2 linked regions of the Alligator mississippiensis genome follow. The protein of the gene in region 2 interacts with the protein of the main gene of each other region in a pairwise test. Links are inferred from orthologs where the notes say so. Each region holds a gene or a part of one and is shown on either strand. Other genes may lie near its edges. The genes, in order: SOX5 and ARID5A.

Evidence for each region.
Region 1: the proteins of ARID5A (region 2) and SOX5 interact in a two-hybrid assay, tested with the Homo sapiens proteins (2 studies listed by BioGRID and IntAct). The two-hybrid records come from large-scale screens. The link is inferred for Alligator mississippiensis from reciprocal best matches to the Homo sapiens genes ARID5A and SOX5.

What each region holds. Positions count from the first base shown.
Region 1 is NC_081827.1:124,852,322-124,868,299, reverse strand, and holds the start of SOX5 (transcription factor SOX-5), read right to left. Parts: upstream 7,566-15,978; 5' UTR 7,228-7,565; intron 2,343-7,227; exon of another isoform or gene 311-2,342; intron 1-310.
Region 2 is NC_081830.1:10,572,740-10,588,555, forward strand, and holds the start of ARID5A (AT-rich interactive domain-containing protein 5A), read right to left. Parts: upstream 7,417-15,816; 5' UTR 7,346-7,416; coding exon 7,321-7,345; intron 7,263-7,320; exon of another isoform or gene 7,029-7,262; intron 5,559-7,028; coding exon 5,419-5,558; intron 3,287-5,418; coding exon 3,118-3,286; intron 2,806-3,117; coding exon 2,753-2,805; intron 2,376-2,752; coding exon 2,278-2,375; intron 1,888-2,277; coding exon 1,761-1,887; intron 1,554-1,760; coding exon 309-1,553; 3' UTR 1-308. UniProt on the Homo sapiens protein: DNA-binding protein that may regulate transcription and act as a repressor by binding to AT-rich stretches in the promoter region of target genes.

The sequences.
Region 1 (15,978 bases), on a different chromosome or scaffold from region 2:
ACTTTGTGCAGTGGAAATGTTACTAAAGTCTCTGAATGCTAATTCTTTATGCTTCACTTTCAACATATTCTGCAAGGATTTATACATGTATTCCTGCTGATAGTAATGATGTTTTAATCAAATCAAATATTATTCTAAAATATATACATATTGGGAGAAGTGTCTCAAATTCAAATAAAATACCATTAACATTAGCAGAATTGTGTGCATGTGTGTGTGCGCACACACATGCTCACATACACATGTGTGCACATATTAGCGTTTGAATCTTTTTCTTCTTTTCTGTTCTTTTATACATTTTTCAACTTACAGCTTCCAAGTAGAAGCCACTTCCTCTACCAATCCAAAGCACCAGGGTTTGAGTGATAAACAGGGAACATTCTTGCTTGCAAAGTGCAAGACTTTGTTCTCCTCCTCCTCCCCGCACCTTCTTCTGCCTCATTAAAGCGTATCGCATATCTCTATCATCTGAGGCTTCTTGGTGACCTGTGTGAAATGAGATGGTGGTCTCATTATGGTTCCTGGTACAGAAAAGACATCAAATAACAGAAACCACAAAAATCAGTTCTCTCATTAGCAGTATCAACAGAAAATTCAAGAATTAAGTCCTCTACCCAACACATCACTCAAATGTGTTAAACTTCTAGTGAGCAATCCTTCTACTCATGCTTCTATAAAAGCATATGCATAAGTGTTTTACTGGATCAGGACCTGAATGGGTAGGCCAGGAGTAAGCAACCCCTGGAACAGGTGCCAGAGCGTAGCATGCAAAGGCATTTTGCTTGGCATGTGCGCCATGGGGCAGATGGTGGGGAAGGGGCGGGGGCTGTGCTGCCATGACAAGAATCAGGCACCTCACAGCTCCCCTGCCATCTGCCCCTGGCACGCCAAGATCTTACAAGTCAATCCTGCAGGTGTTTTGGGGCACTCTGCCCAAAAACACTGCTGACCCCTGGGGTAGACTGTGTCATCTTATTCCTCGAGGAGCTCTCTACAGAGAAATGTTGAGGTCCCAGTGACAATGCAGTGCACACAATTTTGCATTGTTGCTATCTGTTACACCTTTCTAGGGGATAGAGACCTTCAGTTTCCAGAACTGTCTATCAATTGCCTTTCACAAGCACTAAATTCACATATATATATTTGTATATATGCATCAGCATTCCTTCATTTGTAATCTGCCTCATGAGACTTAATATTATTCCCCTACAATTGCAGAACTTCCATCATACCGTCCAAAATGTTACTCACCTAAGGCAACCCTGTTTATAGGAATGCCTCATTATATATAATTTCAGGTTTCAATTCAAAACTGTTTTATAGAACTGACAACTACCTCAATAATTTCCACTCCAACTCTATCTTTGTTGGTTATTGGCAGCAGGCCTGAAACTGATGTCATCAACAAGTTTGCATTGAGAACAAAAAAAAAAAACACCTCATCCTAAATTTGAGACTACATAATGCATGGGCCAGGCCTCATGCCTGTAAACTGGAGCTAATTAATTACCTTGAACTCATTAATCTTTACCACAGCAAAATGTATGCAGCATGATTCACATATACATCCTCTCTCACCCTCAAAGACATGACTGTGGTCAATGCTTGTTCCACAGAACAAGGATGGTCTTGCATCTAATGGCAGTTTACATTTGACTTATAAAAGACTCAGCTTCAGACCCACTATCTGCCATATACTAAACACACAATCTTCTTCCAGATGTGGATGAGCAACGTGGAATATTGCATCTTTCACATCAATTATCTATGATTCTTAAATACAGGAGCCTGTGTACCCTTCACAGGAAGTAAATTGTGGTTACAGGTAAGCAATATTACCTTTGTGGTTTGACTGATAAGCACTACAGTATCACCTTTGTGATACTGGTAAAATCAGTATCACCTTTGTGACTGGTAAAATCTGATCCTGATGTCCTTATCCAGGCAAAACACTTAATATGTACCCATACTTACACAAACATGCACATTATGTGTGCACATATTGGCCAGTTTCAAAAGGATCTAGTGATTTTTGCACCCTTCTTGACTTACTTTAAGATAGGTTGATTTTCAAATGTACTAAATATCGGTCATTTTAAAATTAGGAAACTGTAAGGTATATCAAACTGGGCATCAAGAAAACCAAGGCACCTGAAATCACCAACCCCATTTTAAAATTATGTCCATTATACACAGGAGACTAATATGTGGGTATATATGTTCCTGCCTCCACATATACTATTAAAGCATCAAAATCTAACACTAATGTTAGTGGGACTTTTGGTGCCAGAATTAAATTCTAATATTCAAACAAATCACCTCTGTGAATAAAACAGATTACAGATTAATTTAGACACCTGTTACATGAAAAGCATGTCAACCCAAAAATACAGAAATTAGGTCCTGCCTTAAACATCCCATTGAAATTGATTTCCACTGTTTTTGATGGGTCCTGAATTCTTCTCAGTTTACATCTGCCTCGTGAGGATTGCCTCCTGCTAGGAGGTAAGTTGCTGTATCATTAAAAATGGCATTCCCTGCTGAGAGAAACAACACTTCCATTCACTAAATAGAGACATTAAAATAGTCACAGGTATTTTAATTTTTTAAAAAGATTGTAAATTAACTTTTTAATCCATATGTTCTGATTGAATAAACACTTAGTTAGCCAAGATACTACAAATACTTCCCATAGTTTTTGATTACATCAAAAACATCAGACAAGACTACCAAAAACTGAAAACTTACTTCTACTCACATCAATTAGCAGTTTTTGTTTGATAGCAGTTAAAGATGCAGAACCCATAAACTTTGTTCCAACCTGGATCAGCTTAACTAAAGGTATGATTTTAACTGATTTACATGAACAGCTGCAAAACATAGTGTAGACACTCTTAATCTAATTTAAACCAGTCAATGGTTTATCTTAACTGAGTAAAGAAATTGAATACATAAATAAGAGGTTTAAATTAGATTTAAAGAGTGACTGTGCTGCATTTTGTAGCAGTTTAACTAAATTTGTTTTTAAAACATTTTAAAGTTAAACCGGGGTAACTCTGAACATCTGCAGGCCCCTAATTACAGCTCGACTCTGGCCCAATAACGTAAGTATTTCCCTAGTAAGGCAACCAAGTGCTCATTCTCTATTATGCTCCTTACTCTGTCAAGTTCTGAGTACCTCCCAGGAGATAATGAACATCTTCGATGGAGAGTTTAGGTGTGCAGCATCTCTTAAAAAATGCTCAGTAACTAGCAGCATCAGGTTCTCTGGTGCCAAATCTCCGGCATCTGATATCAAACCAAAACATGACAGACTCTTCCCCAGTATTGTACAATGGGTCACAAACCCCCTATATGCCAATGTATGATTCCGCACTGTGAGCTCTATGAGATTCTGGGAGGTGCTATTCTTTAAAAATAACCTTCAAAAAAGTAACCTTTGACCCATATTCCTTAGTTTGTTTCCTAATTCCTTAATCTCTGAAAATTTGGGCAAAGGAATGCTCTTTTGCTTTGCCACCAGCCTTTCCAGGATATTTTTTAAATTAAAACTACAACAAAGGAGGGGGGAAAGACTCTCTGTTAAGGGACAATTCACTAAAGGGTCTTTTAGCTGACAATTGCCAGCACTGTCGGGGCCAGTGGATAAAATTTAACTCTGCAAAGTGCTGATGACTATGTGACTCATTCACAGTAGGAGATGGTGCTCAGGGCCACTCAAGTTCGATTTCTGGTGTTGCCACTGGGTTTAGGAACAGTAACTTTAGCAAGCAAAGATTCTGTAGGTATTTGATGTACTGGGCAAAATAGCATTCTTACAATCACCTGCCTCCCAAGTGGATGGAAAGCCAGCAGGAGATCAGTAGGAAAAGAAAGTAATTGTCCTTTGTGCCTCTGAAAATGGCCAATACTAATAGATCCCATTGTGGATTACCTGAGTCTTATTTCATGTTTGTGATCCACAGAAAGAGAGAGACAGGTTGGATTTGACAGAAAATAAAGCTGTCAAAAATATTAGACAAGACCCTCTTTGGACACTAAGGAGGCATATGCTCTCCACAACTAAAAAGCAAAGTATGTGCAGACTATGCATGTTGCTTATAAACACACACTGTACATATATATGCCTTACCCTTAAAGAGGCATGAGGCATACAAGGGCAAAATACTACAAGAATGAGTTAATCTTACATGTTTCTAAGGTGCCTCTCAATGTAGCAAGTGACTTATGGGACTTCAGCTCCTTTAGCAGCCTGTGCATAAGTGCAAAAACATACTCCTCTTCTCTAAGCAAGCTGCATTCTCACCCTCTATAGAAAATGCCAATGAAAGGAAATAAAAAACATCATAAAGATTTTCCCAGACCAGATCATTAAGTCTGAGTCCTGAGGTCTCTCTTCCATTCTGAAATTCAAGAGGGGAGACAGGTTTGGATTCAAATTTCTTGATCTTAGAACTTGGTCTATTAACTAATATGAAAGAAACTTTTCTGGAACTGGTACAGACCCAAAAGAGGTAGAAGTCTCCAACAACTTGCAATATTTCAGTACCGTGAATCTGAATTAACCTTTGGTTCAACCTTGAACCAAACCCTTGTGTAAACCTATATGGATCTGAAAATTACCACATACAACAATCTCTAATGTCTTCGAGAGAGAAAGAAAAAAGTGGAAGGAAATAAAACCAAAATTACAAAAGGAGAGTTTATAGTATATTAAACAAAACCTACACATTGTAAAAGGTCACTCCAACAGCCTGAGGCCCAGTTATATAGTACTTTTGCAGGCATGGCTCCCATTGCCATCAGTGGGAGTATTTCCTGGCCCGTTCAATGAACACCAAATTGTTTGTATGTAGAAGAGAGGAAAACATACTTCACTGCTAATGAGAAAAGAATTCTTATAATAATACTAATCTATTTATAATGGTCAAAGAATATCATGGCTTCCACCAACATCACTGCAGTGTTTTGGCAATATTGTAGCATTCTGCTGTATTTTTTGGAAGGATCACTCATTACTTTCTCTTGAATCTTAGAACATGTTTCACAATGCTGTTTTTCAATTTATCCATAAATCTACATCACAGGATTTTATATAGGTATGAGCACTACGGCAGAGGCAAAGCTCCTCTTACACATACTGCATTAGGATACTGCCAGCACCACCAACCCACACTTATTGGTGCTTTGTTTCTTTCATACTTTCCATACTAGTATTTAAAGTTACTTGTAAACTTATTTCAGGCCTAATTGTAGAACTTTAGGATAACTATCTGGGAAGAACTGTTTCCCAATCCTGAACATTAAGAAATTATCAATATGAGCTAAATCTCTGGCAGCTTAACAATGCTGATCAGCCTAAACGAGCGGGGCAAGTCATACAAAATACGAAGATGCAGTAATATAGGATAATATATAGGATAATATATATATATATATATATAGGATAATATAGGATAATATAGGATAATATGCTGGTTAGGCACCAGCATATTATCCTAAATGTATGCATCTCAGACATATGCCTTACCATTTCAGTGTTTACTAGTAAACATCTAAAGAATTACTGAGTGATTCTTGCCTGCTACTACAAGATCATGACAGCAGAACAAGTATGGCCTAGGAAAACTTCTGTAAACAGAAGCATAACATTATATAGGGAATATGTATATGCTTATATTTGCTTTCCAAAGGCATGTATTAGCTTCCAACATTTATAAAAACTTATGCTAGACTAAACTGAATGCATCTGCACATACATGTAGTTGAATGGAGTTAATTTGAAATAGCCAATCCATCTCAAATGTCAGTTTGTTTACAAGAGATGTTTGTGGCTTTCAAGTTCTGTGTCGCACACAGTGTAGCGCTCAACCAAGTGAGTTTAAATGCAACAACAAAAAATCTCTGATATAAGATTTCCATGCATAATAGCCAGGTTTTCATTGTCAAATTATGTAGTAATATACATGCTATCCATTGAACAAAATGATGCCAGCCTTTCCCTTTTATGAGCACAGAAGAACTTTACAAAACAAACATTGTGGCTGTAACCTTGCTGGATCTCAAAACACAAAACTTTACCCCTTCAATCCTAGTTCCATATTTGTAAACAGCACAGTTTACAGGAAGAAGGATCTACCTTTGAGGCAATGATATTTTCTACCACTGGGAAGGATTAAGGAGCTACAGAAATCATGACAGATACAGTATCCTTCATCAAGCAAGTTTCTGGGGCTACAATACTTGGCTATCACTTGCTGTACAAAGCCCAAGAAATGCCCCTGGCTCAGAAGAATCTGATTTTTAAACCTCAGCTGCTGACTTTAGCTAAGTAGTGGGCTGCGAGCCGAGTTTAACACAGGAGGAAGAACCAGGCCGCTGTGTTCTGTTGCTCTGCACCTGGAATAAGGTGTCTTCCCTGGATGTGAATAAAGCAAAAAACTGAACATATTCCTTGAAAGCAAGGGGGAGGCATCCTTCTAAAAATCCATCCCCAAATTTTCAAAAGCGTCTAAGGCTAACATTTGGTTTGCCTAACATCAGAAACAACCTAGGACCTCCAATCTGCTTGGCATCTAGCTCCTCAGTGGTTGCCCCCCCCCCCCGCTTGCCTAAAATCCTGCTCAAGCCCCTTTCTTCTTTTCTGCTGATGGATGTGCTGACCGCCTGCATGCCTCCCACATGCCTCAGTTGCCTTGGGCTGCTGGTGGGGGTTAAACCAAAAAAGCAAAGCATAGCACAGCCAGGCTGAGGGCCCTTATTTCTAAGTACTAAGGAAGCAGGTCCCTCGTAGGGGAGGATTCCCACACTTCTTACCCGCGGGTGACTATTGGCGCTCTCCCCGGGGGCTGCTCATCACCTCCCCCTCTAGAGTCAAGTCCCTTAACTTTCCGGCCATCAGTGCCTGGACCAGGCAGAGTCGGGCTGGGGGAGGGCTCCGCGCACTGATTGGTAGAGGGGCTGGTTTCTTCCCCCCCCCCTTCCCTTCTCTTCCCTTCCGCACCTCTTGTCTCCGGGGCCCGCAGCCCAGCCCAACCCAGCCCAGCCCAGCTCGGGGACCGGCTCTGCTCCTCGCCCTGCAGCGCGCCGCTGGGACGGATCCGAGGGGGGGATCGGGGCCGGGGGAAAAGGCGGGACAAGTTGCTCCAAACTTTGCCAGCCCCCCGCAGCCGCCCGGGGCCCCCGGCCCTGCCCCCGAAGTTGGCCCGGAGCCGGCCGCGCACCTACCCGCCGTGCGGAGCGTGTCCTGGCCCGAGAGGGAGGCGGGAGGATGCTCGGGGCTGGGCAGAGGGGGCGCGGGCTGCCGCTCGGCCCCTTCTCCCGCTCTGCGTGCGCGCCTGTGCCTCAAGGACGAGGTGAAATCCCTGCGCTGGTCATGAGGCGGCTTCAGAGACAAACACCACAATGCGAGTGCAAATAACAAAAGGCAAAAAAAACCCCACAGAAAGAGAGGGAGAGACAGTGGGAACAATGGGGGAGGAGAAGCTTTTCTGTGCAGTCTCCAGCCACCTCCGACACCCTGGGAGCGGGGAGCTCGCACTTCAGCTCCCTTCTGATCTCTCCTAAACAAACCCTGACCTCCTTCCCGGAGCCCCCCTCGCGCCGCCCCGCCTCGCCCGCCCCGCTGCGAGCCGGCTCTGCCCATTGCGGGCGGCCGCGCTGGGCCGGGCGGACAAGCCAGTGCCGGGCTGCGGCTCTACCCCCCGCGCGCCCCGCAACTTCGCGCCGCACCGCACCGCACTGCGCGCCACGGGCGGCCGAGTCCCGGGACGGCCCGGCCCCCGCCTTTCCTCGCTGCGAGCAAACAGCCGGGAGTTGGGGGGTGCTGTTGCTGCGGGGTGTTGGTGGTGTGTGTATGTTGTTGATGCGGGGGGGAGTGCTGGGGGTGGTGGGGTGTGTGCTGGTGGACCGTGTGTGTTGTTGCTGGGGGTGGAGGGGGTGTGTGTGTTGCATGTGTACGTGCTGGTGTGAGTGCTGGTGCATGTGTTGGGGGTGTGTGCTGGGGTGTGTGTGTGTTGGTTGTTGCTGGGGGTGCTGGTGGTGTGTGCGCGTATTGGCCGTGGTTCTAGTAGTGTTCGGGGGGGGGGGGGTGTCCACAGGAGCCCCTGGCCAGGCGAGCCCCTGTCAGCGCGCTGGAAAGGCGCACGGCGCGAGGAGTGACCCCCAGGACAGGAGAGCACGGCCGCCTCCTGCTTCTGGGGAGCCTTCAGCTTCCCTTCTTAATCTTCCTTATCCCTGGGCTGGAGACTTTCCTGATCCCGACTTCTCCCCCCCCCCCCTTATTTTTTGGAAGCTGCTAGTAAGTGAAGTAGTCTGAGCTTCTTTTATTGTTCTTTCGCCTCCCCACTCTCACAAGCAGGGGAGAAACCAGTGCAATAGGCGCCGGCGGGAAAGGGGGGAGGGGGGGGAATGAATCGGAGCTGAAACAGCCACGCACTCTTTAAGAAGGTGGCGGTTTTAAAAGCATCTGAGAGTCACCGTGGGGCTCATCCACGCTAATAGGTTTGCTCCAGGGAGAGAAAGAGCCCATCGGCTTCCCTCGGCACACAGAGAAGTCCTGCCCAAAAGTTACATCAGCAGGCGGGAGCCCTTCGGCAATGCAGGGTGATGAAAGTGTGCCCAGACTTGGAGCACAGCGCAACCCACGAGCAGGTCCCAGCAATCTCCTCTACGCTGACTTTCATGTACTGGAAACAGCAGCGGATTTGTTTTTCTTCCACCCAGAGCAGGCTAAAACACACACACTCCACCCAAACAAAGGGAACAATCTTTACCTGTCACCTCTCCCCCCAAACTCTCTCTCTCTCTCTCTCACACGCACACACCCCCAAGCAAAAGGGACAATCTTTACGTGCCATCTCTCCCCCCAAACGCACACTCTCTCCCTCCGTCTCACACACACCCTCCACGCAAGCAAAGGGGACAATCTCTACCTGTCACCTTACTTCCCAAACTCTCTCACAAACGCGCACGCAAAGGGGGACAATCTCAACCTGTCACCTATGCCCCCAAAGTCTCTCTCATCCCGCCCTCCCGAGGAAAGGAGAGAATCTCCTCCTGTCACTTCTCCCCCAAAACACTCTCTCTCTCTCTCTCACACACACACACACACCCCTGTGCCTGTCCGCTCTCCAGGGGCCCGGCCGGGCGCCTGTGCGGTGACGGTGGCGGGCCGGGGGGGTGGGGCACCCTCTGATCCCTAGCTCTCCTAGTCTCTCCCCCCCTGTGAATGCCCTCCCCCCACCCCCTTCTTTCTGTCATCTTTCTTCAGAAGCGCCTCAGTTGAGCGCAGCCATGTCTCCAGGCACCCCCAGCCTTTCCCAGAGTGCAACACCACGACCCCGAGATCAATGACCACATACTGTTTACTCTTAATCCCAGCAGGACTACAATTGAGGCTGGCGGCTGGCTCGGCGGCGGGGCGTGCGCTTGCTGCGCGTGTGGATGATTTCCCCCGCTCCGCTCTCCCTTTCGGGCTGGGCTAAGCCCCACTTCGCAGACAAGCCGACTTCTGGCCGCCCGCGCACGCCACTCCCGATGCATTCACGGGGCGGGGGGGAGACAGAGAGAGACATCTTCAGATCTACACCCTGGAGCTGCGGGAGGGGAAAAGAGGCGATCCGCGTCCTTTTTTATTACTCAAGTAGGTCGGCTCTGTGCAAGCAGAGCTGGGGGGTTGTGGCTTGCTCTTGTGTTTACTTGCAAGGGGCTTTTGTTTTTAATTGATTAGTGAGCACGTGCTTTTATAAACTGCCTGAGCAGGCCAGCTTCGAGTGTCACTTGATTTGTGACAGCCAGTGGGAAATGCAGAACTCCCCCCCGCCCCCAGCCAAATCGTTCAAAGAAGAGTAACTTCGGTTATTATTAATCTCGGCTACAGAAGGCTTATCTCCTACCAATATTTGATACCGGGACGAGTCCAGTAATTTCCCTGCTTTCTCAGGGACTTAACAAGTCAGCCTTTACAATTCATGAGCATCGCAATCATTTTTTTCTGCTTGGATGCCTGATTGTATATGATCTCTTTCTGTGTGCGCATCCCTAAATGATTTTTACTCTTTGATGCAAAAGGACAGAAAGCATTAGCAGCATGGATAATACCCATAAATGAGACTTCAAACTCTCGGGGGTGGGGAAACAGAAGGGAAAAAAACAACAAAACAGCCAGAGACAGAGCTTTCTCACTCTTTTTACTTGCATTCTCCATACCTGTAAGGTAGGAAGTCCCAGTAGGAAGTGTGCACAGGTGGGGGAAGGACATGGACAGAAGACCTGATTCACCATTGTCCTGCTTTTGCTGCAACAATTTACACCATTACAAAGTAGGAGTATAATGGTACCCATTACTAAATGGTTGTATTTTAGTCCCACTGTGCAATTCTATAAAATAACTACATACAGCATAGGGCAGTGCCGGACTGAACCTAGACACACAATGCTGCTCAACTCCCTTTTCTGTAATCAAAGCCATAAATGATGGGCCTTAGGTCAGGCCTCTTCCGGTTACTCTGACTGAATGTTCTTTAGACTGCTCAGCCCTTTCAGCCGCCTTTTAGCCTCACATGATGGAACCTATTTTCCCTATAAGCACCTCAGCTCCTTGCTTGGTGATGACACTGGGTGGGCCCATTCAACGGAGCAGCATTTGAATGCAAGAAAGGAAATTCAGTGATTATTGTCAGGGGCAGGATTTAAAGAAAAAGCCAAAGAAGGGTCTCAATGCATTTTATTTAGAATCCAAAAAACAACAGGTGTAAAGATTGCATTACGCTCTCTAGGATGTGTTTTTTTCCACTTCTGCAGTAGTATGAAGACGTTCAGTGGAAAAAATTGAGTTACAAAAAGCCCCATTGGCCTGATGCCAGCTGCATTTGATCCTATCTTTATTAATGTGGTAATTTTGTCTCACAGGCCTCCATGCCTCTAGTTTTACAAACTAGTGATGTCATCATGAACACCAACTGCCTCATCTTTTTTTGTGTAGGAAGTCTCATTTTACTTTTTTGTTAAAACAAGTTACCATTTTTTTGCTGGGTGCTTTCAAATGTTTAGTCAGTCAAATTATTTTCAGTAGAACCTAAAAGATGTGTCCTGATTTCCATCTCCTCCCAAATGTTTATAAGTGTACATAACATTAGCAGATACACTGGAGTACTAGGTAGCATAGATACAGCTGGGAGAGAGGATAACATTCCTCCCCCAGACAACAAGATAAGTGTCAAATATGATTTTCATTGTGCCTTACCTACTGAAGGGTAGAAAACAGCAGACCAAAAATTATACCATTTGTTCCAAGTGCTGTTTTTGCAAAACTTGGATGGACTTTAGTTTTCAAAACCCAAAGAAGAATTGGTTTTAATAAGGTTTCAGTTTTATCTGAGCTGCCAAACACCAGGGTATTTGGATAAAAGATTTCAAACAATCACTACCATAAGCTTTTTTTTATTATTATTTTTTGGTTTGGTGAAGTTGGTTAGAAATGTACATCCAATTTCATTCAAACTCTCAGTACTTCGAGGGTGGCGGGAAAACAATTTGGGTAAATCCCCATGCCTGCACGGCATCCAGTGATTTCAGCAGTCATAGTTCATGTCACATTGCAGAATTGGGGCCCATGAGCCAAGCTTGCATGCTAGGCTATGCAAACAAATTAACTATCAGATTCCTTTTTGTTTTATCCCTCTAAAAACACAAGACTTTTCTACTGGCACGGATCTAGTACTGTCATTTACACGGCTAAAAAGTAGGTATTAATGTGATTCTGATATAGTAATGTTTTCTATACACCTTAGACCAATGTAAATGGCTACAAAATCAGGTCCAAATACTTTAACATTTTCAGCATGCTTGTGTAACAATGGACCATTATGATGATCTTACAATCAAAGTGAAAGCAAGAAGCAGCCAGAGAATTAATATACCTCCATATTAGTGTGAGAGTGTATCAGCCCTCACTGCTGTAAGAGCTATCAGGTTAATAGAATAATCCCACCTGCTCCCAGACTATTACTTTATCATTCTTGATTTTACGTAGTAAGTATTTACTCACGTCTCCATCATAACATCATCGTGTCATCTGCCTTGATTCCTGTGAGGGGAAAAAAAACCCTAAAATATTTCAAATGAAACAATCTGCATTCATGCAGAACTGGTACCCTTCCCCCACAAGTTTGATACAGAATCCCAGATATAATATTTCGACTAGACTTCTGAGCACTTTTTTCAATAAAACCACAATAAAGATTCTGATTAATTAAATGGCACAATTGTTTTGTCCATTATATAGGACCCCTTGTTTATTCATGCAGCTTTTCCTTAGATACTTGTCTTCAGACTAAATATCCATGAGATAAAATGAGTTACAGTAGAAAAACTATAAGGGAGACTTCACTTAGTTGAGATACCACATTTAGGCTCTTTTAAATAAAGAAAAATGTGTTGTGTTTGGGGTTGGGAGGTGGGGGAAAAAACTAAAGAAACAGCTATGTTAATTCAAAAACCAAAATGGGGAAAAATATTTTTACCTTTGGGCTTCTGAGATTTGGGTAGTTTAAACTGTTCCCTTAAAACAAATTAAGCTAACTAGAAATAAAAGTGAAGCTGTTTACTCTTAGTTGTTCTAAGTAGTTAGAAGCTCAATTTTATATTTTCTTTCACTTTAAATAATAGTCATGTTAGTCTGAAGTCAAGCAGAAGGCAGGACCCGGTGGCATCTTAAGGGCTAAACTGAGTTAGTTTTTAAGGTGTAACCCTCCTCTGCTTTCTCTTTTAATAACATAGGCCCATAGTAAGGCTCTGAAAACACTTGTGAATACTAGTACCATAAGTAACCTTTTGGTTTCAGGGAAATTACTCACACATGTAAAATTAAAGATGTGTATAACTGAAGTGGACACACACAGATGGAAGAAAAGTACAGGGATAGATTTCCTCAAAAGGCCGTAACTGTATTAATACTATGCCCTCACTCCATTTTTCATGTACAGGTCCAGCACAGAAGTTGCAGGGTTCCCATCTTAAAACCCATAATTTGGCACAGACCCTCCTCAACTTTGTCTGAGATCTCAGCTCATTTTTTAATCCTCCTAAGCAAGAAGGGGGCAGAGGCTAAGGAAGGGGGAACCTCAGTCTGCAGTCTCCCCGCTTCCCTTAGGCACAAAATTTACCAGAACTGTTCTCTCTAAAAGCTGACTCTTTAACCCTTTTTCAACACTGGACATCTACAATAAGCTGTAAAGTAAAATTCTAATTAACTCCCAAGTACTAGCTTTCCAAATCCTATTTTTAGCCTAAGTGTATCTCCATGATGCAGCTGCATCCTAAGAACAGAGTTCCTAATTCCCAGTGTATTTACATGGAGGCAAAGTAAGGTATAAGTGGACAAATAGGCCCCCGGAGCCTTAAGAAAGTCTAATAAATGGATGGGGGTGGAACGAGAGCATAGAACTAACTACATCTCACTTTCCCCTGGCTAGGCAACAAGGCTAAGTACAGACAGTCAAAAAGCCAGAGGCTGAATTGATGCAATCTTTGTAGGTTAATCTAAACTGCATAGATTGAACTGAAAAGCAAGTGAACAGACAGACATTCGCGTCCGATTCTGAAAATGCAGCCACATTCTGGCTGAGGCCAGAAGCTGGGGGGTACTACTGGGCACCTGCCAGCCACTGCCAAAGGGAAAGGAGGAAAGAAGCCCTCCAAGCAGAGTGGCCATGGGCAGGCCCCAGCCTGGGACCAGCATGCTAAGGTCAGGGGGACGGGGACATTAAACCCCACTCCCTGGCCCACATGGACCCTAGCCTGGGTCTGTCTGGGGTGGGGGGTTGCCAGGGTTATCCCCCACTCCTGGCCCAGACCACCATGCTGAAAGGAGGGGGGGGGGGCGTTAAATCCCATTCCTGGCCCACAGGGGACACTACATGGAGTCTGCCTGGTGGGGGGGCAGCCCCAGTGAGGCTTTTGCCCCGCCCTGAGCAGGGAGTGAGGTTGGAGGGGGCGTGGGACAGAGGCTTGGCTCATGGGATGGGGGTGGCTCCCACCACTGCCTGCACTCCTGGAGTGCAGGGGGGGTTCCCCCGATCTGTGCAGCGCAGCGCAGGGCGGGCTGCAGCTATGGGGTGGAACCAGAGCCAGCACTGCGTAGGGCTTTTCTTGCCAGGGGCTGGGCTTGGAGTGGACTCCAGCAGCACTGGGAGGAGGCTGCAGCCACCCCAGATTTTGCCGCAGCTCCACTCTCAGTCTCGCACCACCACCCGGAGCAGCCCTGGCTTTTCCTGGCACATGGGTGGAGGTAGAGTGTTCAGATGGGGCTACAGCGGGAGGTGGTGTGGGGTTGGGAGTGGAGCTGAGGCAAATTTTGGGGTGGCTGCAGTCTCTTCCCAGTGCCACTGGAGCCCGCTCTGAGCCCAGTCCCCAGCAAGAAAAACCTTGCGCAGCACCGGCTTCGGCTCCACCTTGCAGCTGCAGACTGCCCTGTGCCACGCGGATGTATCGGCTGATACCAATCCGATGTCCAATACAGCTGCCTCCGATTCCTGATACAGCATCCCCTCCCACGCTCCCAGGGTGCAAGCAGTGGCGGAAGCGGCCTCCACCCCATGTCTCACGCACCCCTGTCCCCCTGGGCAATGCCTGGCCCCTCCCTCATCACGGGGGGCATTGATCTGCCCCCACACAACCCTTCTCTCCTGCCTCTCCTTCCGACTTACCAGCTGGAGGCAGATCTCCATGCTGCTGGCTCTGCTCCGTGCTGCGCTGCAGCTGTGCTCAGCACAGGCATTTATTGGCCAAATTATCAGCCCCATAGGGCCGTTATGCAATATAGACAATTTTCTTCATGGTACCCATCTGATATTGGACCAATGTATCAGTGCACCTTTAGTTTGTACCCTTTCCCAGTCCACACGGGACCCCAGCCAGGGTCTGATGGGGGCAGCCCCTGCCAGGCTTTTGCCCACCCAACTCAAACAGACAGTGGGGCGCCTGGTCACTCTGGCCTGGGGCCAGCATGCTGAGGCAAGGAAAGTGGGGTTTAAACCCCCTTTTAGGCTCACACAGGACCTCAGCCCCAGTCTGCCACAGGGGGAGAGAAGCCCCTGCCACGCTTCTATCTCCTGCTCCCAGCTTGGTGGGGGGCAGTCCCTGCCAGGGTTTTGCCCTCCCCTCAAGTGGAGGGCATGGCCATGCCATGGTCAGGGGCTCACAGGATGAGGTGGGGAGGGAGGGGGTATAAACCCCCTCCCTGACTGCAGAGGACTTCAGCAGGGGGGCAGAAGCATTGCAGAGGCTGCCCCCCCCCAGAGCAAACCCTGGCTGGCGTCTGGAACCAAGGAGCAGGGTTTAAACCCCCTGCCCCCCCACCACCCACAAGGGACACAAGCCAAAGTCTGCCTGGCAGGGGTGAAGTAGCTTGTGCCTGGCCTTTCCCCTGTTCCCCATTCGAGCACAGGGGCAGGAGGTATGGCCAAATGCTGGCCAGGCTGGCATGCTGAGGCGGAGGAGGGGGGAGGGGGTTTAAACCCCGCTTCCCTCTCCTCCCCTCCACCCCAGCCTATTGACTTGGCTGGTGTCTAGCCATGCCCCTCCATCCCTGATTGAGCAGAGCCAAAGTCTATGAGGGGCTGCTCCGCCCTCACCAGGCAGACCCTGGGTGGGGTTCATAGCCAGGTTTCCCACCCCACCCTCTTCTCAGCCAGCTGAAGCAGCGATACTGCTCAGGCTAGGGAGCAGAGGGGTGAGGCCAGCCCTGCTCTGCTGGAGCAGACAGCACAGCCCAGGGCTGCAAAGCAGCCTGGGATGCTGGGATACTGTGGGTTAACTTGAACCAGGAAGGGGTACGGGACAGAAGTTCCATGAACTGGTTTGACCTAAATCAGTTAAATCTGATGCTACACCAACCAGGTTTATCTTAAACTGGTTTTGGCCATTTTGAAAGTGTTTTAAATGCACTCAACTTCTGTTCCATTACAGGTTTAAATT
Region 2 (15,816 bases):
CTCAGGCAGGTTTATCACCGAAGTCCACAGCACGATTGTGAGACCCCTCCAACATGCTCTGACTTTATATAAAGCCCCTTCCCATAACACATTGCTACACGAGCCCTGTCAAGGGGGACAGCATCAGATCCCAACAGTTCCATGGTCCCAAGGTCCGGATCATGTGATGCTTTCCCTTGGCCCTTTGTCACGTGACTGTGGGATCCGTAGCTATGGTGGATCCTATGTGGGTGGATCACATGTTCCCAGGTGGCCTGGTACATCACACCAAGCCCCTATGTCCTGGCCCAGAATGTCTTGGCCAGAGGCTACAGCTTGGTGGGGCGGTGGAAGCCGTGGGGGGAGGCATAGGCAGGCTGGCTGTGCCATGTGGCGACAGGATAGAGGCGGTGCCGCTGTGAGCTGTCATACGATGTGGGGTAGTGTGCCAGGCTGGTCGCCAGTGGCCGGCACAGCTCAGAGGCCTGGGCAGAGGCAGTGATCACAGGGCCTGGGAAGGCTGGGATGACAAAGGGACTGAGGGATGGTGTGAGTGGCGATGATTCCCTGGAGCCAGCCAAGCTCAGTGGAAACCTCAGCATCGTCCCTGTGTAGGCATCTGGGCCGGGTGGTGGCAGCAGTGTGGGAAAGCCAGGTGCCACGGCCTGTGGCTTGGCTAGGCCAGGCGAAGCCTCCCGCGGCTCTGCCTCCCTGACAAACGGGGACACGGCCCTCAGCTTCTTCCCAGGGCCAAAGCTGCCATCTTCTGGCCCACGTTTGCCCAGCCCCGGGCTCTGCCCAGGCTTGGATGGCTGAGGGCTGACTCTAGCCAAGCTGGTTATGGGAGCCACCCAACAGGCTTTGCTGGCAGGGAAGGCCAAAGCCTTGCTGCCTTGCCGGAAGCCCGTCCCCTCCAGGGGCTCTCTGAGCTCCCCCCGTGGGTGGTCAGACAGGGGTGGGTCCTTGCTGGGAGGCTGGCAGAGGAAGGAGGCATCAGGGAAGCCGGCAGGGGCCCGGAGTGGGCGGCAACTCATAGGCTTCAGCACTTCTCCCCGGTAGGCCCGGAAGCAGCCGGTGAAGGTGGTGGGCACCGGTGAGAGGCGTCGCCCCAGGCTCCCTTCTTCAGCCTGTGGGCTCAGCGCCCCCTCATTTGTGCTCGGGGGGCAGGAGTGGGCTGGGTCCACGGTGTCATCCCGCTGTGGCCCAGGGCTCCAGCCATCCTCACGGCGTTGGGGCTTGGCAGCACTGTGGTCGGGGCTGTGGCAGGGGCCAGTTGACATCCAGCCCTCACGGCAATGGCCCTCGGGGCAGTGCAGGGCCTCGGCTTTGCTCACCTGAGCCAGCAGCTTCTTCTTGGCCAGGGGGGACATGATGGGGTGGTTGCCTTTGAAATAGAAGCTGGAGAAGAGACGCTGGTATGCCTCCGAGCAGCCAAGGGCCTCACAGTGGCCATGGCAGTTGGTGGGGGGCTGGGCCACCTCACTGGGATCCCGGGGCTGGTTCTGCTCCAGCACCACCTCCCTGCCAGGCTGGGGAGTGGAGGCAGCATCCAGCTTTGTCTTCTCCAGCGGAATCTACAACCAGAGGGATTGGGGCATGGGTGAGATGCGGCCCCTGGGCCCACCGCTCTCCCACCCTAGGCTCGCGGCCAGCTGTTCCTTCTCCCTGCTGCCCCTGGTGTTCTCCTGGCACCCCGATCCCAAGGCTCCATGCATGGGGTGGTCCTGGAGGGGACCCTGGGGATGAGCCCGCGTCAGCTTCTCCCCCCCCAACCATTGCACCTGCTGCCGGCTCTTCTCCTTCTTGGTCCGCGGCTCCTTGGAGACCTTGTACTGTTTCCGGGGCTTGGTGGGGGGCAGTGGCTTGTCATCCTCGCCCTTCAGGTGCCGCACATATGGGAGAACCAGCCTGTCAGGAAAGAAGCACATGCCATCAGGAGGCTGCAGCCGTGGCCAGCACTGGGCCTGGTCCTGCCAGCCAGAGCAGCAGCTGCAACGAAGCCAGGCAACCGGCGCACAACAGCGGCCCATGGCCCTGTGGTCACTCCAGAGGTGGCACTAGATCCTGGTGAGTGCAGCCAGTGGTCCCATCATGGGGTCTGAGGGTGTCACACACTTCCCTGCCAGGCCAGCGTATCAGCCCTCATTGCACCCTTGGGGAAACTGAGGCACAGAGATTCAATGGATGGAGAACAAACAGGGAGACTGGCAGGGCCTAGAGCTGAGACCTGGGGTCCCCCAGGCCATGAGCAAGGGAGTAGATGGGTGAGGTGGCACGTGGGGCAGTAGGGGTTCATACCTCTCATAGTGGCGCCGGGTGCAGGTGGCTGCGCTGGTGCTGCCAGGACTCCCGCCCAGCTCATCATAGACGTTCTTCCAGAGCCGCCTGCCTGTGACCTGTGGTGGGAGGGAGGTGAGGGCCCCAGGATGTGCCCAGCGCCTTCCTCATGTGCCCCTGCCCTAGGGCATGGCTGGACGAGCAGAGCCCTGATCTGGAGGGCGATGACAGCTCAGGAGACCTGCAGCTGGAGCATTGCCAAGTTCTGACTTGCTCTCCCACCCATCCCCAGGGGCCAAAATCAGCTGGGATCTGGCTCCAAGCTTTGGTCCCCATGGCCCCAGCCCAGCTCAGCAAGCCAGGAGAGCCCAGAAGCTCCCCTTGCCTTGCCCCATGGCTGGAGCTCTGCTGCCCCCTATGCCAGGGCCAGAATAAGCAGTCACCAGCTGGGCACAAGGCCCAGAGGATGTGATCCCGGCCCCTCCCCTCCGCTCACCAGCTCGTAGGCACCCAGCTTCTCCACGGCCTTGTAGATCTTCCACAGGTTAACTGGACAGACACACGGACGGGAGCAGAGTGAGGGCAGGGCCCAGGGGAACCATCCTCGTGCCCTAGCCAGAGTACTGCCCCCCCTCAACCTGCTCAGGTGGGCCTGGGGGACCTCAGCCATGCTGGGGGGTTGCAGTGACCACAGGACCCAGCCGCAGCCCTCCCTGGGGTGCTGCCACATCAGGGCCCTGCCCAGGCCAGCCTGGCACAGGCAAGGTGCCACACAGACCTGTGGCTGTCAGTAAAGAAGTCTGGCAGATTTGGGACCAGCAAAGGATTCTGGAAGGCCCCGAGAGGTGCCAGGGGACATACTCTGCTTAAAGCCGAGGTGGGGGATCCTTTCAATGGGCGTGCGACGTTCCTTCATGAATTTGTAGAGGCCAACGAGGAAGGCCTGCTCCTCCTCCTTCTCACCGCTCAAGGCTGCGTCCTCGCCCAGCTCCCCTGCGGGGTCCCTCTGCTCCCCCTCAGAGCCACTGGCCTGCAGAAAGAGACAGCCCCACGCTCAGCCACAGGGGCCGGGAGCTGCCAAAGCCGGAGCGACCTCGGCCCTGGTCCTGGCAGAGCCAAGGGGAACCCAGGAGTCCAAGCCCCAAATCCCCCGTTGCTCTGACCACAAGAGCCTGCCCTACTCCTAAAGCAGCCAGAGAAAGAGAGAACCCAGGAGTCCAGGCTCCGAGTTCCCCATTGCCCTGACAGCAAGAGCGGCCAGAGACAGAGCCCAGGAGTCTGGGCCCCAACCGGCGAGAGCCTGTTGGAAGACCCTGAAGTCCCAGGTGGCAGCCCAGACTCCCAGGGCAAGACATGTCCCATGGCTCCTCAGAAGTCAATACTGCCTTTGCCGTCCTACCTCATCACCAGAGCCCACCCCCATGCCTCTGGGGCCTTTTCCCCTCTCCCAGCCCCATGGCCCACAGCACCCAACCGGCTCTAGCAGAAACAGCATGGCTCCTCCCACCCGGGCAGGTGGCCAAGTTGGTCAGAGCGGAGCACGAACGGGGAACTGTTTCCAGGAAAACAGAATGACCGAGATTCTCGCTCCCTCTCTGCTCCCCCAGCCTCACGCCGGGCTGAAAACACCGCTCCGTGTTTGCTCTGTGCTTTCCGGAGTTAGAAAACTCGCTGCTATTTTAGGGCAAAGCAGCTGCTTGGCTCCGGAGACCCCTTTCTTTGCTTTTTTTTCTCTTCTTCCGCCACTTCTTCTGTGTCTCTTCGCCGCAGGCGGAGACAGACCCAGCCTCTGAGGATGGGGGGAGGTTTGTTTTTTTAAGCCCCAGCAGAGTTGAGATCAGGCAGGGGAAGGGGGGAGAGGGGGCAGAGCTGCTGGGCACATCTCCAGCTTGCTATCCCATTCCTCCCCAAGCCTGCCAGGACCTTGGCAGAGTCCCTGCCCACGTATGCCTGCCCCAGTAGGGCATGGAGAGGGTCTCTTGCCTGGCAGAAGTTGGACTGAGACCCAACAAACTCATCTTGCCCACTGCAGGCCTGGCTTTGCTGGATATCTTTGGCCCTGCCCAGCCACCCCTGCTGTCTCTCATGCCCCATGGGGTGGAGGCAGCTTGAGTTCAGCACTGAGATGCTCTGGCCCCTGGCCTTGAAGGGGAGAAATCTCCCCTCTACCCTGCAACTAACTGGTCAGGGATGACCAGTGCCCCCCTCAGGCCCTATGTGTTTCCTGATGCTAGGAGACAACATGCCAGGAAGACCCCATGGGTCTGGTTCTGAAGGTAAGGATGCCTCTCATAACAGCTCCAGGGCATCCAACCAATTAGATGTCCACAGTGGTGGCACCTCCATGCCAGGCCACGGCCCTATGGAAGGTGCCGGCCGGGGGCTTAGGGTCCAGCCACTGACAGAGGCTCTGGGGAGCTCCCAGCCTCAAGGCAAGACCTGACATGCATCCCAGAACCCATGTACTTTAATGCTGTGATGGGCAGCACCACCCTGGCTGTGCTGTGGTCCAGGGCACCATGGGATGCTCTGTCATGGCTGTGACCCCCCCACACACACTTATGCACGTGAGAGAGAGACTGGCACACTCATTCAGCTGCCACATAGGCAGCAGCCTCCAACAATGGAACTAGAAGCCAGGAAGAGCTGTGGGGGCCTTGTGTGTAGCCAGCAGTCCCCTTTTGGGGTTACCAACACTGGATGTCAGGGTGTAGGGCTGGGTTTCCACACTGTGGGTCATGCCCAGCTGTAAGCCCCAGCCTGGCCTGGAACCCACTGCTCCATGGAGCTCCTCCAACTCTCCCCTGCCTCAATGCCAGGGAGAGGGCACAGGGGGCCAGGGAACAAACACCCACCTGCCCCTGCCCCCATGCTCGCCCTGGGACACATAACTTGTGCTGCTGCCCCTCAGTCCAGAAGGAACAGGACCAACCCTGGCCTGACCCAGTCATGGATGCTGGCGACAAGCAGCCAAGACTGAGGCCAGTAGGAGCCTGCTTGGAGTGGTTCAAGTGCTGTGCATGCAGGCTGGACTAGCCCCAAGCCCTCATGCCGGCTCGCGGGGGCAGCTGAAGACATGGCTCCCCACAACTTCTTCATCTCCCGGCACTCGAGCGCATCCCAGGACCCTCAGAAGGGGATGTGGTGCCCCATCTCACTCACCGCCTGGGGTGTGGGGTCAGTGGGACCTGGGTTCTCTTCAGCATCCAGTGCAGCAGCATCAGCAGCACCTGGCTGAGACACACTCTCCTCCTCCATGGCAGGCGGCACCTTCTTCTGGTGTTTCCCTTTGGGACTAGGGGCTGTGGGGAGGAAGAGGAGACAGGCCACTGAGGAGGGAGCCTGGCAGATGCCTGTCCCCAGTGCAAGGGCAGTTCAGGCCACCCAGCCAGCTGGCAGGGGGTGGGGAGCAGAGAGGGCTCATGCTGGGCTTTCCAAGAATGAGGCTACGTAGCCAACACGTTTCCTGCATTTATCAACAGCACCCTGCACTTTCACTTTCAGGGCGGCTTCCTGGAATTGGGGGAGAGCTGCGCATGTCCCCCCTGCTGCCTCAGCAGCCCCGGCATGGCCAAGGCAGATGCCTCTAGCAGCTGGAGCTGGCCAAGACCCCTCATCCCAACCCCGGCTGACAGTCCCCTAGTTGTACCCCCCCTTGGCCACGGAGCCTCCCAGCTTTGCCTCAGGCCTGCTGTGGGGACCCTGGTGCCACACTGTGACAATGCCAAGATGTTGTCCAGCACCCCCAAGACCCTGCCCCCCTGAGGAGACCCTGCATAGCCCCCTGGCATGGGGGTGGGGAGCACCACGACGCTGATGCCCCACGGGACCCTCACTTGGCTCACATCCCACCAGTGCCGAGACCTCCATCCCTCACACATGGGCCCTGGGGCACCACCATCTCCCCCCCCCCCCGTGCAGACTCAGCCCCCTCCCGGCTTGGAGCCGCAGAGAACGGGCCTCTTGCCAGCCCCCAGGACGTCCTGTTCCCGGCCCTGCCCCGCCCACGGCAGATGGGACATCTCTGCCATCCTTCCCAGCAAGCACTGGGTAGAGGGGAGATCCCAGGCTCCAGCCCTTGCCTCCCAGATCTCAGCACATCAGGGGGGCACAGGGGGATCCAGACAAGTGCCAGATGGGGTGATGCCCCTCTGCCCCGTGTTCCACGTTGGCTTATTAGCAGCAGTCCCCAGCACCGGTCTGGTGATGGAGCTAACAGCCATGGAAAACGGACCTCCTAGAGGCAGGCAGGCAGCGAAAGGGAGTCTGATGTTTCTGCGGCTCAGGCCCGTACCTGAGGGGGGCAAGACAGCCTCAGCCACCAAACCCATGGTGAGCACTTGCCCACAACTGCTCCCACTCTGTGGAGTGGGGGAAACTGAGGCACGGGGAGCTAAGCCACAGCTGAGCTGGGAGAGATGGGACCGATGGCAAGCACCAAGGTGCTGCCAAGTCCTGTGGGGAACCCAGGTATCCTGGACACGCACATGCTTATGCCTGCCCGCGCCCCGGGGATGCAGGCGCTCCCAGCCCAGCTCGTGTGAGTGGGGAGACAAGCAGCCCCCCGGGCCCTGGCACACGCCCAGCGCGGGCGGTACCGGCCGTGACGCCGATTCCGGGAAGCTCCATGCCCCGCCGCCCCATAATGTGCCTCCGCTGGGCACGGCCCCTTCTCCCCGCCAGCCTCCCCGGAGCCCCGGCGAGGGGACGGGGTGCAAGTCCTGCCAGCCCTATCTATGGTGCCCCCTGGCACCGGGACGGAGCTTCCCCACCTCCGGGACGCAGCTGGGGGGCTCCCCCCGCCAGGACTCCACAAGGGGGCCAGGGCGGCGCCCCCCGCCTCCTGCACACAGGGAAACTGAGGCAGGCCCGGCAGCGGAGGGAGACGGGCAGCCCACGCCATGCGCCCGGGAAGCCCCGGCTTCGGCGACACGCCCCCGGGAGGTGCAACTTGGTGCCCGCGTGTACAGCGTCCCGCGCATGCAAGCCCCAGCGTGCAAAGAGCGGGGGCGCACTGCCCTACGTGGGCAATGTCCCGCGTGCGAAGCCCCGCGCGACGCTCACCCCAGCCCCGCGACGCCCGCTCCATCGAGCGCTCCCGAGCCCGACTGAGCTCCGCGCCCGGCCGCCGCGCTGCCCCGCCGGCCCCGGCCGCCCATTGGCCACACGCGCTGCCCGTCTCCGCAGGGCCCCGCCTCCCCGACCCGGGGCACCCTGGGAGTTGTAGTCCCACCTTCGCCCCCTGCTGGAGGGGCACGGCGATCCACGGCCCTGGTCCCTCACCCGGGATCCGGTGGGCGAGTGTCCGCCCCCGGCCAAGCAGGGTCCCAGTCTTCTCCAGTCCCCGCCAGTCAGCCTCCACTCTTCACTTTCACTCATTTCTTGATGCTGGCAAAATCCTACAGCAGTAGTTTTCAACCTTTTTCCATTTGCGGACCTCTTTGGGAATTTCAAACAGAGGCACAGACCCATTTGAATTGTAAGGGTGGATATTCACATACTCTTGATTGATTGCGGTCATCTTTTGCAGGCCCCTTAGCCACAGCCTGCAGCCCCACAGGGCTCCACAGACCACAGGTTGAAAACCACTGTCCTAGAGCCATTCTTCTATGGCAAAGACCTCAGCACGACACCAGTAGGGTAGGAGGGTTGGGACACTGTGGATGAGAAATCACAGTATTTTTCTTGTGAATTGTGTAGGCGTTTGCACACCTGACAGTTCCCCTTCCAGGAGTCTCCCGGGTCCTCCAGCTGAGAATCACTGCTATGGACTTTTCAGGCTCGCTGCTGCTGCCACGGCTGTCAACATCCTGGCTGCTGCTCCCCCTGGACACTCTCGGCTTCCCAAGTCCTTTTTGAGGCCCAGCCAGGGCTCCCAAAGACATCGCGGCTGGCTGCTTCTGACCGGCTCTAGCAGCAGCTTTCTCTAACAGCCTTGTTTCAATTCCCCTTTCTGCTATTTCCGGGCCCTTCTTACGGAGCCAACTGACAGCATTGGAGCCTGTAAATAAATCTGGTTTTTCTCTCCAGCTTCCGCTCCCATGGCAAAAGGGCTTTATTTCAATTAAGACTCATGACTTACTCTCAAAACTGACCGGACAGGTGCAGATGGAGTCTCTTAGCTCAGTAGCAAGTCCAGTGCTGCTAATAAACCTGACACTCTCAATTCGCATCCATAACGGCCGTACCAACAGAGAGAAGGAGTTTGCAAGTTGGTCATTCATGCCATTGCAGCTACATTGAAACTCTGTCTTAACAGCAGCCCAGCAAAGCCTCTGGGTGGACAGAAGGTGCATTGAACTGTAGGGGCGGTGGAGCCGTTGGGGCAGTGGTTTCATGCCTCCTGTATGGCAGTAAAACCCTTGCACCCATGTGGTTACAGCAGTGGGACCAGGTCCATGTTGCTGGAACTACTGTGCCCCCATGGTTCTGCCTCCTGTGGTGTCTCTGCTCAGAAGAGCTGCAGGCGCTGGGACACCGATACCAGCCAGGCTTCCACATGGCCTTAACACGCTGACACTGGTGATTCTCACCTGGGGTTGCCATGATTCCTTTAAAGGGTGCTAACACTGTATACCATTCACAAGAGAAACCCAGAGATTTCCAATAGGAATCAAGTATCCAAGCCCTGTTGGCACCTTGCTGAGGTCTTTGCCAAAGAATCACTCCAGGATTGTTCTGTCATCAAGGAACAAGCAAAAGCAAATATCTGGCATTGTCCAAGCAGAGTCTGCAGTCTAACAAGGTGGGATGTTAGGTCTAACGAGGGGTGTCTTGACTCCTGTCAAAGTTGTGAACCACCAGTTTAAGCAGTCCGTAGGCTCTGTTGTCCAGAAAGTGACTCATAAGAACATAAGAATTGCCATTTACCACCCCTCGCTCTTGTCTATCCATCTATCCACCCTATCCAGTTATCTATTCACCCCATACTCTACCTGTCCATGTATCCACCCCACAGTCTGCTTATGCATCTATCTATCCACCCCACACTCTATCTATCTAATTTATCTATCCACTTCACTCTCTCTCATTAGTCTCTCCTCATATGGAAGCTCCTCCATGCTGCAAAATCCTTGTTGCACTCTGTGCCTTCTCTAGTTCTTCTGTCTCCTTTTGGAAGTGTAGGGACCAGAATTGGGTGCAGTATTCAAGGTGTGGCTGCCCCAGGGATTTATAAAGGGGCATCGGGATACTTTTGTGCCCTCAAACCCTGCCACACACTTACGTGCCCTAGTGAGGAGCCTGGAGAAGGACCCCCAGGGGAGCAGGGTGGGAGGGCTAGGGAGAGGCAGCAGCAGCAGGGTGAGAGAGGGTAGTGTAGGGGCTTTATTGCCCCTTCCAGCTGCAATTTCACTGACTCCAGCTTCAGAGCAGTGTCACTATCATTGCCAAAATCTTTGCTGCAAGGCAGCATGATTTCCTCTCTTTTGGGTTGTGAAGGAAGGGGCTGAAGGAAGAGGGAGAATGGCTCTGAGCACAAGAGAAGGGAGAGGCATGTGAACAAGCTGAGAAGCCCACAGTTGGTTTTTACAACTTCCTCCTCTGTGTTCAAGTCTCCTTTCTGAAGAACTGTCCCCAGAATCCCCTGACGGGACTGATAGGAGAGCAGCAGAGCGAGACCTGAGAGCCGGTGGTAACAAAAGAGACAGAGGTGGAGGGGGAAGCAGGGATGTCCAGGGAGGTGAATGCCCATTGGGGTCGATGGAGAGTGTGGCTGCTACTCAGCAGTGATGGCAGCCTGCATCAGAGGTAGCCAGGCGTGGAACTGTCAGAGCATTGTGGGTTTCAGATTGACCACGCGGGGTTAGCCATGGGCATCTGTGGAAGGCAAGGCAACAGTTCCTCCATCACATGCCAGGCCAACACTGCTCAGCTCCCATGGACTTCAGGAGGAGAAGGGGTTGGGACACCACAAGGCAGGGCCCTCTCCATGGGGCTGAGGTCCGGATAGAGTGGGTACAAAGGCCTGTGGTTTCCAGTCACCCATAGAGTCACAGAGAAGTAGGGCTGGAAGAGACCTGCAGAGGTCACCTCTGGTCCTAACCCTGCCTGAGGTGGGATCAGCCCTGTCCAAACCATCCCAGACACATCCATCATCTAAACTCAACAAAAGTCTACTGGTAACTCTGACACAACACCAGACAACACACCTGAATCGGCCACAGGGAAAGAGGGGGGCTGCAGCACCCAACGTCCTAGTGCTGTACAGGTTGTTAATAAATACTTGAGGGGTCCCAGGCAGAGGCTGTGCCCCCACTACAGAGAAAGGCAAACCCTCCCTGCCCCCCAGTCCATACCAGTCTTATCAGGGAGTAAAATTTCTTCCCGACCCCAATGCAGCATCAGACTCACCCTGAGCGGAAGGTCAAGACCTGCTAGCCAGGGCCCTCCGGCTTTAGCCCCAGCTGGAGCACTGGCACAGCCCTGTCACCATTTCCAGCCTGGGCTGCAGTGAACACCCAATACCTCTGAGGGAGGGTTGAAAACCCCTTGAGACATATAGCAAAAAGGCAGGAAAGGAGCAACCAGCAAAGCCCAGAAGCCTGGGAAATGCCCATAGCAAAGCACAGGTGTCACTATGCCTACATCATCCTTGACCAGTGGCTGTCCAGCCTCTCTCTGAATTCTCCAGTGATGGAGAGGCTGCAGCTCCTCTAGGCATCCATCCTACTGCCTCGCTGCTCTGATAGAGAAGTATTTCCTGATGCTCAAAAGGGCTTTCTCTCTTCTTCACAGCAGCCCATCAAGTCTTTGAAGTTGCCCAGGCCAATGCAGCTCCATAAACAAGACTGTTTGGCCTCTCCCTAGCCCTGTGTGCTACAATTCCATGAGACACCAGCCCCAACTGGCCCACAGCTGGGCAAAGATAGGCCCCGTGAGCACCACCGGAGCCCTCAGTACCTGATACACAACAGCAAACTGTTGTCTGTGGCTTCTGTGAACTCAGGGGCTGGGCAGGGCTCCCTTCCTGGTGACAGGGAAGGGTGCTGGGGGCAGCCTGCTGCTGCAAAGTTAAGTCCTTCTGGCCCTCTCCCCACAGCTTGTTGGAAACTATTCAAAATCTCCAGTGGATATGGTAGGGGCTTTGTAGTATATTCGGCTGTGGGACAGCCCATGTTCATGGTGACTCTTCTGGACTTAGCACCTACAGTATAGTATCAGGGGGCTGGCCTCTTTATTCCCTCCAGCCCAGTGTTTCTAGGTAGCCATGCAAATGAGATGTGGGTTTGAACTGAATGGCTTCACTTTGACTAGCCAAGGCAGCGAACTAAGAGCAGTGTTGTCAGAGGACTTCCAGGCACAGCTCTTGGCAGACTGGGCTCAAAGTTTCCCCCAAAACACCCCATATTTTTAGACATACCATCTGCCTACCCAGCCATCCTTTCCCACATGCCACATCCATCCATCCATCCATCCATCCATCCATCCATCCATCCATCCATCCATCCATCCACCACTGGGAAACGCAGAAAGGAGATAAAAAATACATATTTCCACAGAATCATAACAGTCACCACATGGGCTCCCTGCAGTTGAATGCTCTGGCTGAGTCAAAAGCTGCTGCCAATTTGGCAGGGCCATGACAGGGTTGACCCTCTCTCTGTGATGTTGAAGAGTGGGGCTCTGCCCTTCCTCCAGGCAGCCAGGGAGGATGAAGAGCCCCAGGAGCCATGGAAATCAGCTCCCCTGCTTACAACATGCACCCCAATTCAGGAGGGCTCCCGTCCTTGGGGAAGTGTGTGTGGCCCCTACTTCTGCCCTCCTGGCCTGGGTCCCTGAAACACCCTGGAAAGCAGGTGGCTGAGGGATGGTTTCCCTCCCAAGCCCCATGTTATGAGAGCAGAGGGAGGTCATGGAACAGCCATCCATACACCCTTCCCCATATATCACTTCCCTCCATCAAACCATGCTTTCACCCATCCAATCACAAGAAGATCCAGCTGTCCAGTCACAGAGTCATCCAGTCATTCACCTACCCACCCACACATCCATCCCTCCCTCCCTTCCTCCACTCTCCCCATATACCACATTCATCCACCAGCCATTCTTCTCCATACACCATGTCCACCCATCCCCAGGACAGACACATCCATTAATCCATACTTCCATCCACTCATTCACAAGAAGATCCAGTCACAGAGGCACGCATCCATCCACCCACCTCTCGTGCCAATGCAAGCCGCAGGCATCACAAGAAAGTTTAACTTTTTGTTTGCTCCAGAAAAATTCTAGAGCAATTCTTCTGTGGCAAAGACCTCTGGAAGCCCACAGTGGGGCAGGAGGGTTGGGACAGGCTGTGTTCCTATTGGAAATCTCTTGTGATTGTGATGGATTGCTTCATAGTGCTAGCATTGCCCCATGACAGCCTTGAAAGGATCTCAAGTTACCCCAGGGTGCTGCACCACCCCAGTTAAGAATTGCTAGTCTAGGTACTTGCGTCATATTATGGGATGCAGGATAACTTTTGCAGCTGATGTGCAAAAGGCATCTGCACCCTTCTCCCCTCTTAGGTCTCTCCCCTTCATCTTTCCAATGCAGTCAGGTTCTGGGCTCTCAAAAAGAAGCTGCTGCCTTTTCAGCTCCTTCAATGCAAATAGCCTACGTTTCCCAGAATGCAGCAGGCCCAGGAGGGGCGGGAAGAGCTTTTGAAAAACACAAGAGTGTAATTTCTCGTTAGGGGGGAACAAAAAAAAAAGAAAGAAGAAGAATCAAAGCCTGGAGCGTCATGTCTAGGAATAGACCGGGCGTGGGGCCAAGGTATGACAGCGGATGAGTAATCCACTTAAATCATTGCTCTAAACACCATTCCTTGTAAGAGAATTAAAATATCAGCTTACATCACTGAGCCCAGCGCACGGGATGTGAGAGAGCGCTACGCTGCGGCTGCCAATGCGGGAGATTTTGAGGGCTCTGGGACACAGAGTCCAGAGCAAAAACAACGGCCTGCTCCCGAGCGCAGGCAGAGAAAGCTACGGCACAGACAGGACCAGGACTTTTTCACTATAGTCATAGAGTTGTAGAGAAATTAAGCTGAAGAGAAATTGCAGAGCTGAAGAGAAGTTGTAGAGAAATTAAGTGGCCTGTGGAGGTCACATCTAGTCCAGGCTCCTGCCTGAGACAGGATCAGCCCTGTCCAAACCATCTTGGACAAACCTATTGTCTAACTAACAAAACTGCTGTCAGCCCTGACACAAGACATCTCCCTGAACCTGCCACAGGGAAAGCAGGGGGACTGTGGCGCCCAACATCCTGCTGCTGTAAAGGTAGTTAACAGGCACTCCAGGGATCCCAGGTAGAAGCTGTGCCCTGGCTACAGAGGAAGGCAACTCCTACCCCCAGTCTGTACCAAACTGAGCTGGAGGTAAAATTCCCTCCTGAGCCCATGCAGTGTCAGTCTAGGCCTGAGCAGAGGGACAAGACCCTCTAGCCAGGACCCTCCACAGCCAAGTCGCCAGCCCAGGCACAGCCCAGTCGCCATCCCCAGCCTGGGCTGCAGCCAACACCCAAGGCTTCAAGAGGAAGGGGAAAAAAACCCCTGACACATAGCAGGAAGGGGGCTTCGGTGTGGAATTCCCTCTCAGCCCCTTGTGGCAATTAGCAAAACCTGGGAAATCCCCATAGCAGAGCACAGGCAAAGCTATGCCTCTATCATCCCTGACTGATGGCTGTCCAACCTCCTCTTGATCCCCTCTAGTGATGGAGAGTGCAGACTCCCCGGGCATCTATTCCTCTGCCTCTGTTCTACCAGAGTAGATTTCCCTGAGATCCAGCAGAAACCTGCTTGGCTGCTACTTCGCTGGCCCTGCTGGAGACCAGCCCTGGGATTTATACCTTATTTACTCACTGATCACACACCTCTTGTCCCTGCAATTTAGCAAGCCAAGAAGAGGGGGCAACAAGTCTGATTCTAGACAGTTAAGCAAAGAGCGAGAATCTTCTTCCTTCCCCCATTGTTCTGCCTTACCCAAAACATAGTGGATCTTGTATTTGGGCATGTGGTATGAAAATAAATACAGTTATAGATGAGGGCAAAGAGTGTGAGACTGGCTGTGATAGCTCTTTTCAGGGCTACACCTCAAAGCAGCGTGCTACGGACAAGGGGTGTTGCCCCCAGCTTAGGGGATGGGGAAACTGAGTCAGAGAGAGGGGAAGTCACGGGCAGTGCAGTTGGGGCACCTGCTTCTTCACTGGTGTGGAGATGTACCTGGAAATTAGACATGTCCTGCCCAGACTTGCTCAGAAAGCAAGCATAGGGCCAAAGGGGCTACCATGAGCTGGGCTTGAACCAGCAAAGCCCAGAGCTTAAAGCCCTGCCAGTCCAGTCCCAAAGCTGAGCCATATGTGTGCTGGGGACACAGAAAAGACCCCCGACACGTCAGCCATGACTGCTGCCAGCCCCAACACCCCAGTGCCCATGCATAGGAAACCCCCTGCCACCTGGGTGCAACCTCGCAGCTAGAAAGCTGAGGCTGCCGGAGTGCCCATGCCTGCCTTACACATAATGAGCACCCGTAGACAATGGAGGGGGCAAGGGGGTATGACAACCATCTTCAAACCCTCAAAGAGTGACAACAGAGAGGATGGAGATAGGCTTTTCCCAGACTAGGAGCAATGGCAGGGAAACTGAGGCTGGAGATAAGGAGGAACTTTCTGATCATGATGGGGGTCCAGCAAAGGAACAAGCTTCCTAGAGGGGAGGGGAATTTCCATCCTTGGATGTTTCCAAGAGCAGATTGGATCCAGATTGGCTGGGGTGGTTTAGTCAGGGCTGATCCTGCCCTGCTCACGGGTGTGGATGAGAGGTGACTTCCTGAGGTCCCTTCCAGTCCCCAACTTCCCTCTGATCATATAATCCTAGGCTTATGGATTTGCTTGCTTGGAGACCAGCAGGGCCTTGAGTCAGACCTCAGGAAGGGTCCTCTGCACCCAGACCCTTGTCCATCCTCCCTCCCAACTCCACTGCCTAAAGAGATCACCAGCAAACACCCTCGTTTCTCTCCCACTGCCTGGTCCATCAAGGCCTATAGTGCTCCCGAGATACCAGGGACTCTTCCACTTGTCCCACATGCCAACCACCCACTGGAGAGCACTTGTGGAAGGATTCTGCCTAGTGCTCATAGCCATCGGCTTTACTGGGCAGCTGAGAACATGGCGTGAACTGGCGCAGGTGCTGGAGACCTCCGCTTCCAGCTCTGCCATACCAGGGGCCAATGGGGGTCTCGCAACGCTGTGAAGAGCAAGACCAATGAAGCCAGGGTATAAGGAAAGGGGGTGGACAGGGCTGGACACCAGGGTCGGTTCAAGGGTAATTGGCCCCCTAGGTGAACTGTGTACCTCGTTGCCCCCACCACTTCCAATATAGGGGAAAATAAGAAGTCTAGAATGAACTTTTACAGGAGTTCTAGCTGTGATGGTGGTCAATTTTACTGATCTTTCCTCTGAGATCTTTTCAGAGGTCTTTCTCCTCTTACTGAACCAAAGGTTTTAGACCAAGGTGGAGCTGTAGCTGACCAGGGCTGTTATGTAGAATAACGTTCCTGTTATTTTGTTCTGTATATA